Nothobranchius furzeri: one gene and its partners. The protein of the gene in region 1 interacts with the protein of each later gene in a pairwise test. Links are inferred from orthologs where the notes say so. Each region holds a gene or a part of one and is shown on either strand. Other genes may lie near its edges.

What was found.
Region 2: the proteins of clasrp (region 1) and dab1a interact in a two-hybrid assay, tested with the Homo sapiens proteins (2 studies listed by BioGRID and IntAct). The link is inferred for Nothobranchius furzeri from reciprocal best matches to the Homo sapiens genes CLASRP and DAB1.
Region 3: the proteins of clasrp (region 1) and dazap2 interact in a two-hybrid assay, tested with the Homo sapiens proteins (2 studies listed by BioGRID and IntAct). The link is inferred for Nothobranchius furzeri from reciprocal best matches to the Homo sapiens genes CLASRP and DAZAP2.

What each region holds. Positions count from the first base shown.
Region 1 is NC_091753.1:42,034,822-42,038,472, reverse strand, and holds part of clasrp (CLK4-associating serine/arginine rich protein), read left to right. Parts: intron 1-971; 5' UTR 972-1,012; coding exon 1,013-1,111; intron 1,112-1,240; coding exon 1,241-1,338; intron 1,339-1,420; coding exon 1,421-1,522; intron 1,523-1,738; coding exon 1,739-1,818; intron 1,819-1,976; coding exon 1,977-2,061; intron 2,062-2,171; coding exon 2,172-2,308; intron 2,309-3,651. UniProt on the Homo sapiens protein: Probably functions as an alternative splicing regulator. May regulate the mRNA splicing of genes such as CLK1. May act by regulating members of the CLK kinase family.
Region 2 is NC_091748.1:41,557,367-41,561,017, reverse strand, and holds part of dab1a (disabled homolog 1), read left to right. Parts: intron 1-1,480; coding exon 1,481-1,600; intron 1,601-1,912; coding exon 1,913-1,951; intron 1,952-2,329; coding exon 2,330-2,392; intron 2,393-3,597; coding exon 3,598-3,651. UniProt on the Homo sapiens protein: Signaling adapter of the reelin-mediated signaling pathway, which regulates the migration and differentiation of postmitotic neurons during brain development.
Region 3 is NC_091755.1:37,293,937-37,298,186, reverse strand, and holds the start of dazap2 (DAZ-associated protein 2), read left to right. Parts: upstream 1-1,358; 5' UTR 1,359-1,509; coding exon 1,510-1,522; intron 1,523-3,432; coding exon 3,433-3,551; intron 3,552-3,645; coding exon 3,646-3,894; intron 3,895-3,976; coding exon 3,977-4,105; 3' UTR 4,106-4,250. UniProt on the Homo sapiens protein: In unstressed cells, promotes SIAH1-mediated polyubiquitination and degradation of the serine/threonine-protein kinase HIPK2, probably by acting as a loading factor that potentiates complex formation between HIPK2 and ubiquitin ligase SIAH1.

The DNA of each region.
Region 1 (3,651 bases):
ATCTTTTTTACCTCGGAGAAATCTCAACACCCACACTTTTAAACACTGTGTATGTGAACGGGCTATTCCAAAATTTTCAGAAACAAGAATACTGACCTTAAAATCAATCAAAACCTGAATAGTGGCCACGTGTAAACAATGTGAGCCCCCCTACCAATAATTTCCAGTCAGATGAGAATTTTTTGCTTCAGTCCCTGTTATATACTCACCACACACATTTACGCTTCTGAGATGAGTGTCACTGTCATATCACCAAACCGTTATGCATCCCCCCCCCCCCCCCCCCCCCTTCTGAAACTGATACACAAATGGCTACTAGATGGGAAAAAAAATACTGTTTGTTTGGGCTGGGACGATAATCAATAAATCAATTAATCGTATGATAGATGAAAATGTACTAAATATTTCCAGCATCAATATATCAAGGCTAAGAAATGTACAACTCTGTTATTATTATTATCTTTATTTATTATCATTATTGAAGTGCAGTTTTGGTTTTTGGCACTGGATAGGCCATTGTATTTATTGTTTTGGAGAGACAGGGTCTATTTTATTGTTATTGGTGCAATATTTTTTAACAAAGATTGAAAATCCTTTTTCATTTATTTATTTTTTGTTTGTTTGTTTTATTTAGAAGTTTTGGTTCTGGACTTTCCTGTGTTAAATAAAGGTTTAATTGTTGCATTTTAAAGTGTGTACTTGCATTATTATGATATTTACATTACATAAGTGTTTTTTTTTTGTCTCAATAATGTCGACAATATTATCGTTTATCGTCAATAATTTTTTGGACAATATATCATGCAGCAAAATTTGTTATTGTCCCAGGCCTACTGTTTGTGAATATCAGTCCAGTTTCACATATCAGACCGATGCGTTATGTTCAAAAATGACGAACATTGACCGATGCCGATATAACGTATATCCCTAATTGCTCTTTTTTGTGTTGCTTCCCGTTCACCCCTGAGCAGCAGCCGTGCCTAGACGCGCTCCCACCCCCAGCGGTGCCGTCATGTGGCAGGAGGCCCGCAAACATGAGCGCAAGCTCCGTGGCATGATGGTGGACTACAAACGCCGCGGAGAGCGCCGGAGGGAGTACTATGAGAAGATCGTGAGAGATTTTGTCATCTAGCTGAGCAACACATAACACATATTTTGTTTAAATATACTTATCTTTTAATGATCAGTCTTTAGTGTGATAATTTGTTGTGTTTAACCGGCTCTTGTTGTTTCCTAACAGAAAAAAGATCCGGCTCAGTTCCTCCAAGTTCACAGCCGAGCCTACAAGATCCACTTGGATCCTGCGGTGGCGCTGGCTGCAGAGAGCCCAGCAAACATGTGAGAAGAATCATCTGCATGGACTTAAAACCACAGCACTGAGAATGTGATGATAAGCCTCCCTCCTCTGTTCTGTTTAAAGGATGCCTTGGCAAGGAGATGCCAACAACATGATTGACAGGTTTGATGTGAGGGCTCACCTGGACTACATCCCAACTTACACCCCTCCTCTGCTCAGCACATCGTAAGTGTCTGAAAGACTTTTTTACCCACGTTACATTTAAACAGTGTGAGCCTGTTTGGTGGACATTATGGAAGAAAAATGCCTCCTTTCCTCTTATATTAGTTTATTTAAAGTGTTGTGACAGAACAACGAGACCTTTAATTTCAGGTTTTGTTACTTTTATGATACTATTTCTTTTCCAAAATAAAAATCTAATCATCTCCTTTTTTCATACAGCACCCCAGAGCAGGACATGGAGGAGAGGAAGTGTAATTATGAGCGCTACAGGGGCCTAGTACAAAACGACTTTGCCACCAGTGAGTATTTACTTGTCAGAATTCCAGTTTTATTTTTAGTGCAAGCATACAGATCTGTACATTTGCAGATTTGGCGATTATTGGTGACTTAATTTGCTCTCAGTGGGAATATTCTGCTGTTGTGTTCTGCCTTTTAACCCTCTGATGTCTTTCTGCAGTCTCGGAGGAGCAGTGTTTGTACCAGATTTACCTGGACGAGCTCTACGGTGGCCTGTCGAAGCCAAATGAGGAAGAGAAGAAGAAGTAAGTAAATGTTAAAGTGGTTTCATAATCTTTGTTTTTTAATGTTGTCGTTATTTGCTGTGTAATGTGAGCTGCTCTTTCATTCACAAATCCTCTCCCTTGTTTTGCAGACTTGCAGAGAAAAAGGTTGCCATCGGTTACACGTATGAAGACAGCACGGTGCTGGAGCCGCACTCCCAGTCAGATAAAGATGAAGATAACTCGGAGAACAGTGAATCCGAAGAGGACGAAGGCATTCCTGATATTGGTGAGGAAAAATTGCACGCAAAATACCTGGGACATTTACCGTAAATCCTCTAATACAGGCCCGGGCCTCTATTTGACTCAAGCTCATCAAGCTCCAGGCCTTTATTGGAAGGAGGGCCAGTATTAGAGGCAGGCCTCTATTTCCATTTGAGCAAAATGAACTAATGTTCCTTGGAGTTTTTGACAATTAAAATTGCGCCCACATTTTCAAAGTTAAACACATTTCTTTTAACAACGGTAGTTTCTGCTTCAGCCATCTCCCCCCTCCCCCTGCTTTAGCCCTCTCCCCCCTCCCCCTGCTTTAGCCCTCTCCCCCCTCCCCCTGCTTTAGCCCTCTCCCCCCTCCCCCTGCGCAGCGGCCGCAAACTCACTGATGCGCCTGCAGCCTCTCGGGAGTTCCTGCTGCTCTAAACATTAAAATAATTATTTCATTTTCTGTTCCTCACTTCTGATGACCATCAATGGTGGCTGTTTGTTGCAACAGCAGGTACAAAAACTAACTTGTTTTTATTTGACTATTTTTCTGTCCTGTCTGTTTATTATCTTCCTGCATCTCCTCTCAATCCTAAAGAAAAACTGCTACCTGGGTTCATATATATCCACCTCATGAGTTACCTTTGAACTGCAGTTCTAAAAGATCTACCGACCGCAAAAACAGCGGAGTGCTCGCTGTTTGTCGGCCGTATCAGTGATCAGTGCGTCGGAGGACAAGGTGATGCGCGCAGCGCCCCGCTCCACAGCATGCAGCAAACGCATCAGGCGCAAATAAAAGACAGAAAACATTAAAGGAAATGAACCAACATGAACGATCGCGTGTCAGTACCTACGGTCTGGCACAGCGCGTTGCCCCCACCCCCGAGCGCAGGAGCTTGTCACCTGCTGACAGCAGACTGCTGTCTTTTCCGAGGGCTGCATCTTGCCGGTCATTATCACGTGACAGCGACTAGTCGACGACAGGCATAAAAAGTCACTATAGTGAAGTTGACTAGTTCATACACCCCCTACTGCTGCTCTCCAGAGTGTTCTGCAGCATAATCAGCACGTTCTCTTTGAACTTGATAGTGTAATGACCTGGCTGGGGTTGTAAGCCAGGTGCATTCTGGGTATTGTGTTATATGTGTTTCCTATCGTTCTGCTAGTTCCTATGTGCTGATTTGCGTGTTGTGGGAGTGTTATGTAAGCCACAGGGAAGTTGATGTGTGTTCTGTGGAGTGGGTTGAATTAGCATGGTTAACTGACACCGTGACTCTGTGTGGTAGGAGCGTGATAGAGGATCGTGTCTGTAGCGTTACAAAGCGTTGAAGAAAAAGCCTAATAAAGGTCTGCTTGAACCTCTACTGCCTC
Region 2 (3,651 bases), on another chromosome or scaffold:
AAAATAATTACTGCACTAGAATGGCCCGTTTTACCTTCATGTGCAGAATACCAGTTTTTCCATGTCCAGTCACAGGCAGGTAAATGCAGAAACCCCCTCAAAGTATCCTTGTCAAAAGAAAGCAGTTAAGAAAAAACTACTAGAACGATAAAATATTGCAGTCAAAATAAACTATTTTTATTGAACACATTTTGCATATAATCTGTGCAGTTAACCATCTTTATGATTTAACCATCGTTATTGCGTTGGTTATCTCGACCCACCGCTTGCTTTTTTTTAAATACAGTCCCTTTAGCGAACGCGTCTTTAATGGACGTCTGACTCTGACTGCTACTAGCCGTTTTAGCCTTGGAGGTGGAGGGTGCAGATCGAAGCTTGAGACATGCTTGGTAATCCAAGAGGAGTTTTCTGCTGAGGTGATGAAGCAAGTTGCTGGTGTTACCCCCGCCGGCTACCACCGTTGCTCGACAGCATTAGCATATAAAAGTTGTTTGCTCCACGTCCGAACTTTTAAACCCGAAAAACCTCCAAACAACAGACGTGGCTCCTCTTTTTGGAATAAGTTCTTCTGCGTTCGAAGTTTTGATGTCGCCGTGACAGCTCCCGCCAGCCGCCAGCCACCATTCTTGGTTTCACCACGCTGTGGTGTTTGTGTGTAGCAGTGAAATGAGTCCCCGCTGAAACACTTTCCTACTAAGAACGTTCTGTACGTTGTTTAGGCCTTTCACCGGTATAGCGGTATGTGAAAAATTCATATCATAACCAAAATAAACACTGGTTTTTAGTATGACCCGGTATACCGCCCAAGACTAGCTTGCCCCCCCCCCCCCCGCTTGCTCCAGGGAAGGTCTCAGCCTCACGTTAAAAGTTACAGTCTAGAAGGCAGAGGGCAGCAGAGTCACTCAACTGTGATTCTCTGGCTAAAAGCGTCCGCCACCCTCCGTTAGCTTCGGTTAGCTCTGTTAGCTCGTAGCTACACCGACACAGAGTTTGATGTGTGTCACTCATCTGCCCCTACCCTCACATCCCCACTTTCAATGGCCACGATGGCAGAGGTGGGAACCGCCCACTGGGCTTCAATTCAGTCCTTCAGAAATCTGGTGATGGTCTGGGGATGTTCGTTATATATTACAATTATAACATTGTTTTCTAGATCAAAACGACTATAATTCCACAATCTCTGAACATAAACCAACGGTTTCATAAAAAGCATCTAACATCGTGCTTTGAAGAATTAAAAAAACTTTAGTTTGTAACGCGTTTGAACTTTGTGGTGCACATGCTCAGAAAAGCTCCTCCTGTATGATTTGGTTAACTCAATGCCCACAACTCAAGCAGAAAATGGTCTTCTGTCACCAAGCAGCACTGGTTCTTCTATGTCTTCTTAACTTGTGTAAATATTTACTGCGTCTGTCTGATTTTTGATGAGGCCTGTGCTCTGGTTGGGTACAGTGTGGATAATGGGTTCTTGTCGTCCCAGGCTGAGCCAGTGATTCTGGACCTGCGGGACCTGTTCCAGCTCATTTATGAGATAAAGCAGCGGGAGGAGATGGAGAAGAAGGCCCAAAAAGACAAGCAGTGTGAGCAGGCGGTCTACCAGGTACTTTTAAAGATTTCACCTTTATGGTTTATCTCCTAATGGTCCTATCAGGTAAGACTTGAAATACCAGGGAGTGATGGAGCACCTACTTTTTGATTTATTCTGTGACACACAGTGCATGTTTCACTGTCCACCGTTTCATTTCTCTGTTTCCCGTGTTTCCTCTAATACTCGCTAAATGATTATTGGAATGCTGGGAGGTCTTTCCGTGCTTTCCTCCTACTCTTTAACTCTCCGACTCTTCTCTCTTCTGTTCTCTTTTTCCTCCCTTTTTGATCTCTCCCACTCCTTCCTGCCGGCGCGTGTATGCAGACAATCCTGGAGGAGGATCTGGAGGACCCGGTCTACCAGGTAACTCCCTGACCAATCACATCGCTGCTGTCACCTGCTGCACTTCGAGCTTGCTCCTCTGTGTGTGCACTGTGGGGAGACAGCTCCTGTTTGGGTTCGGTGTGGTAGTTGTGCAGATGTTTTTCTCGTGTAGGAGAGTTCGTGAGTCTGTGTCTCAGTGAGCGCATGCACAGCTAAAACGTGTTCGTTTCCTACTGTTTGTTGTTTTTCCTGCTGCCTGAAGTCGTCTCCACGAGTCACTTAGATCTGTTCTTTAACTGCCTTTTAATGGGAGTCTACTGACGATGCTGTTTTTGCTAATCACCTCCACAGCTTAACCACTTCTCTCTCTCTATGATCCTGTTTTCCTCCTGCTTCTCTTTGCTGCTGACGCTTTAGTACATTGTGTTTGAGGCGGGACACGAACCCATCCGTGACCAATCAGAAGAGAGCATTTATCAGGTACTCACAAGCTCATTTTGTTTGCTTGTGTCTTATGTAGCTTCAACTACAGTTCCTGTGGCCAAACTGCTGACGAGAAGTTAAACGCATTTAAGCTACAAAGATTTAATCTTCATTTACTGGCTGATCTCTACGAGCTACATTACTCTTTAATGGGATAAATGTAATGTGGCCCGCACATAAAATTAATTGCTTCTGTTTTTAACACATAAAAAAGAGGATACAGGAAATTAAAGACTTTATAAATCTGTGGAAACCTCCCAGCCGACGCTTTCCCAAGTGCCGATTCAGCTAACGCTAGTTAGTCTGGGGAGATGATTCGTCCTCTGGGTGTAGTCCTCCGAGAACGAGTTACACCTCCAAGGGATGAAGGGGGGGAGGTGCATGTGGAGGGGATGCAGTGGTTATTCTTGGCCCTTATGGAAGGCAGGCCCTCATTTTTGCACCTCCCCTCTCCTCTTTCCCGAGGAGATGAAAGAAAGCTGGGGGGGGGGGGGGTAATCACCAGCTTCTCGTTTGATCTTTAAATAAAACAGATTGAAAATAAAACAGACTGAAAATAGGGGGAAGTGCTGGCGCGTGCACCAAAACAAACACACTTACAAGCAAATCCCGACTTACACGTCAGGCTCGAGCAACGTGAGCCCCAGCCTGCCTCCGGCCACAGAGGGACTGATGTAGGAATAAAGATGGCAGCTTCTGGAAATAAACATGAGAGAGAAGTAAACAAGGCAGTGACAGGAGGAACGTGCTGGATAGATGTCCACGTTTTTCATCAGCAGGATCTTTTTCATTCAGACTGATTAGTTAACAGCAGAGCCCGACCTTCAGAGGGAGGAGCAATAGGAGCTGTTATGATTCAAACGAGCGCCATGCTATCACATCATCTGTGTCACACAGACAAAACTATCTGGCCGTGTGACGAGAGGTATTACATGTCTCAACATATGTGACACTGTGAGTTATTACATGTCTGTGGCTGTGATCAGCAGGCTGGATAAGGCCTTTATCAACCCAGCAGATGAGCCTTCACGCGACTGATTTTAATCCCGATCGTCCCAGCCCACACCCAGAAGCAGGACTAGCTAGTGATCTGGTTCCTGAAGGGATTTGTGTTGGCCGTGTTGAAATGCTGGAACGGTCCCGTGATGCTGAGGTAACTGGCTCTTCTGGCTGCTCTCTGAATGTGTTGGTCAAACGTGTAGGTTCCCACCAGTCAGCAGAAGGAGGGGGTCTATGACGTCCCCAAACGACACCCA
Region 3 (4,250 bases), on another chromosome or scaffold:
TGCGTCCTGCGCGCGGCCGCTGTTATATTCACAAAATCGCTCCACCAAAACCAGTGGCGTGTCCATATCTTTTAAAATGGGGTGGCCCAGTTGAGGGACAACTTTGTGCATGGGTGGCACCAATGGTTATGCTTTTTTTGTTTTACCCCCAAGCCTTTTGTGGACAATGAAAAGCCTATTTAAAGGTAAATTAGTGTGATGGCACCTGGGGTGGCCAATCAGATTCCAAGGGTGGCATGTGCTACCCCAGGCCACTCCCTGGACACGCCTCTGACCAAAACAAAGTAATTCGTGTGCGATCGTTTATATCAGTCCATATTCTCTGGTACTTCATGTACTTTTCAGCTGACTTCATAATCTGTGCCCCGGTGATTTCAACTTATTGCTGCTGGAGCGCAACGAATATTAAGCTTTTTTTAAAAAAATGTTTATTTTATTTTTTTGTGGGTTTGGTAGATCCCTTTGGCTGATTAGTTAGAAAGTAAGAAATTTAGGGAACAGTTTTTCTGGAAGACGGAGAAAACATGCAGCATGCAGGAAGGTTAGAGAGAAAAAGGGCAGGAAATTATTCAAATAAAATCAAGAAAACAAAACAAAGTGCTTCAAAAGAAAAAAGTAGGTAGATTTATCCCCAATACACATTTTTACCAGTGAAAAGCAATAATATATAAGCATTTAATATTTATACATGTGATAGAATCAGATCACCCCAGAAGTCAGTCCCACATCCAGGGCCATATCAAGGCATTTGGGGACCAAGGCAAATATAGGCTTGGAGCCCCCACCATGCTCAGTTAATATAAGATGGCAGCGTGCTGAGAGTACAGATTGTTGTTGCTTTTATTTAATAAACAATAATTTTAAAGCACTGTTATTATATCTGACTGTTTTTAACAGCAACCCTAGCTAGCTCAGACACATCGACATACATATATGGACAATGGGTTTCCATAGACTTGCTCTTGCATTGTGGGGGCTTGCTCAGACACCACATCACTTTCCACATATATGTCATGAGCTCACTGAGCGTCAGATTACCAGATTCATATTGAAGTTGTATTGTTGAAAGTAACTTAAAGTAGTTCAAAAGTAGTTTAATGCCTTACATTTTAAAATCAGTAATATTGTAATGTAATGAATTACTTTAAAATGAGGGTAACAAGTAATAGATAATGCATTACAGTATTGAAGTAACTTGCCCAACACTGATTGTAGTACGCACTTAAGTATTAATTTCATTTTACGTTTAGCTAATATTTAGGGTTTTTTGTGCTTTTCATATTCCTTTAAAAACAAATCTCATTTCCTCCAGAAGGGGGCGCGCGCGTGCAGGTGAAACTGAGCGTGCGTCCGACCGCAGATAAAGAACGGGTGACGTAACCACTTCCACAACAACAAGAAGCTGAGAAACAAGGAAGTGTCAAGCCGTAAGCTATTATAAGGCCGAGACAAGATACACAAAGCGCCGTTTAATCTGATGTTCCTCAGCCTCCGAATCAGTCCACAACAATGAATAACAAAGGTATTTCTCCGTCGTGTGTTTCATTTTCCAGCTAGCTACTCGTTACTTGACGTTGGCGTTGTAAGGAAAGACGAGGAGCTCGCGTTGTGGCCAACTGAAGCTACGTACATAACAATAAACTGACGCACACTCCGAACCAAGCTGTCTTGGATATTGCTAACGTCGGATGTCCGAATTTAGTTTCACATTTTGTTATTTGACCAAAACGGGCCGGTCAGATGTGTTCCAGCAAGCTAACGTGATTATAAAAGCAAATCTGACATGGCTTTCCTGTTTTTGTTGGGGAGGGGGGGAGTTCTTGTTAACAAAGAACATCCCGGTTACATTTATGTTTTTAGACCTGTTCGGCGCAAAAATGCACCAGGTTGTTTATTTCTTCTTTTGTTTGTCTTATTTGAGCTTAGATTGTCTTTTTGTAGCATGACATCTTTGTTCGTGGCTAATGCTAATGACATTTCATGATATTTTTCTTACTGAATTAATTGTTTCACTAAAGCTAAAATAGAAGCAGACATTTTATTCAAACTGTAATGCGCGATGGTCGATTTGTCATGTTGGAAAGACAAAGAAAATGTAAAATTCACATTTGTTTACTAACCACCAGGCTTTTGTGCGTTGTGTTAATCAGATTCGGCTTTATAATAAAATCTTCCATTTACATTTTATTAATTTCTAATCCGTTCACTTGTGTTTTTACAAGTAATACATTTTTACCCTTTGCTTATACTGTCTGGGCTGAGAAAAGTGATTATGTCTAGTTTCCTGGTATTGTTTGCCATACAATGCACTCAAAACAAAACTAGAAACTCTCTTGGCAGTGACAGACTTGCTACAGTCATCACATAGTTTGTTATAATTATGCACAACAGTTTCAGTTGCTTAAATAAATCCCCCCTGATGATATTAAATAACATGTTTCCATCAATATTTAAACATTGTTCTTTCTTTTACTGCCGCCAAATGTTGGACCTAAAGACACTTTGTGTCAAAATCTGGTTTTTGTTCTTTTGTCTGTAAAATGTAGAAACGTTCAAAGTTGTACCCGAAAAAGACCAACGTTAGCTTCAGTATACAAGACATTGGGATTTTCTGTAACGTGTACCACTCAGTAGTTGCGTTCACATCAGTAATAATTTCATGTATTTAGCTGTAAATGTAATCAGCTCCCTCCCATCTCCACTCAGAAGCAGCATCAGTTTATTTATGATGATGATGATGATTGAGAAGAAGTACTTGCAGCTTAATGTTAGTAGTCAAAGTCATTAGTAATAATCAGGGATGTGTATTTTTGTAATTCTGGCGATACGATACATATCACGATACAGGGGAGACGATACGATGTATCCTGATATATTGCGATACATTCAGTCAGACGTTACAAGCTATTTTTTACTGAATTTATTATAAGCATGTTCAATAAACAGTCAAAACTGATATGTAACATGTTTAACATGAGGTATCTGAACCATGATGGAGGGATTTACAGTTCAATGGTGGAAACAAAACCCGTTGCACACTGCTGCCAACTAGCGGGTGGCGATTGAATTGCACAAAACGAAAAGAAAATACACAAATGTTTGCATGTTTGCATTCTTTCAAGAATTAGATACACGGCTTTTGAATATCAATGTAATAATCACAGGGAAAAATATCACGATATATTGCCATATCGATATTTCCTATATGCGGCTTTTGAATATCGATATAATATTGCTGGAAAAATATCGCGATATATTGCCATATCGATATTTCTGATACACAGCTTTTGAATATCGATATAATATTGCTGCGAAAAATATCACGATATATTGCCATATCGATATTTTCTTACATCCCTAGTAATAATGAAACGGTTCTCATCCCATAATTCTTCAGCTGTGCGTGTTTAAAAGTGAAATGTTGTTTTGCAGGCTCATACCCACAGCAGGCTGTGTACCCTCAGCAGAGCTCTGCACCTGTATACCCTCCTGCTATGCAAATGTCTCCTCAGGCACCTCCATACTCAGACACACCACCTGCATATTCTGAGGTAACGCTTGCATCTACAGGTCAAGCCTAGATTAGCTTTTTTTTTTTTTTTAGTATTCTTCAATTAAATCTGTTTCTCGTGTCTTTGTATGCAGATATACCAGCCCAGATACGTGCTTCCACCTCAGGTGCCTGGTCAGGTGCCTCAGATGTCCTCTCCCTACCCTGGTGCTCAGGTGTACATGCCCATGCAGCCACACATGCCCGTTGGTCCGGTGGGCCAGAACGTTCCCATGGCTTACTATCACATGGGAGCTGTTTACCCCCCTGGTTCAACAGTGATGGTGGACGGTGGCTTTGATGCTGGAGCTCGTTTCACAGCTGGCAGCAGTGTTTCCATCCCAGTGAGTACGGAGTGACTTAACCTGTAGCCAAGGCCTTTGTAACTCTTAACCTGCCACTGAGCTCGTTTCTCCTCTTCTCTAGCCCCCACCCCCTGGACACCCCCCTAATGCAGCTCAGCTGGCTGCCATGCAGGGTGCCAATGTTGTCATGACACAGCGCAAGAACAACTTCTTCCTGGGCGGATCCAGTGGAGGTTATACCATCTGGTAACAGCAGCTACTCCCCTCCTTGTTTATGCCTAAACCGTACCCCCGTCCCAGATGATTCCCCAGACCCTCCCTTACTCCATACGCCTTCCTCTTCAGGCTGCTTGGCCATGCCACAATACTGATATCACCTAATGGAATGTAATATT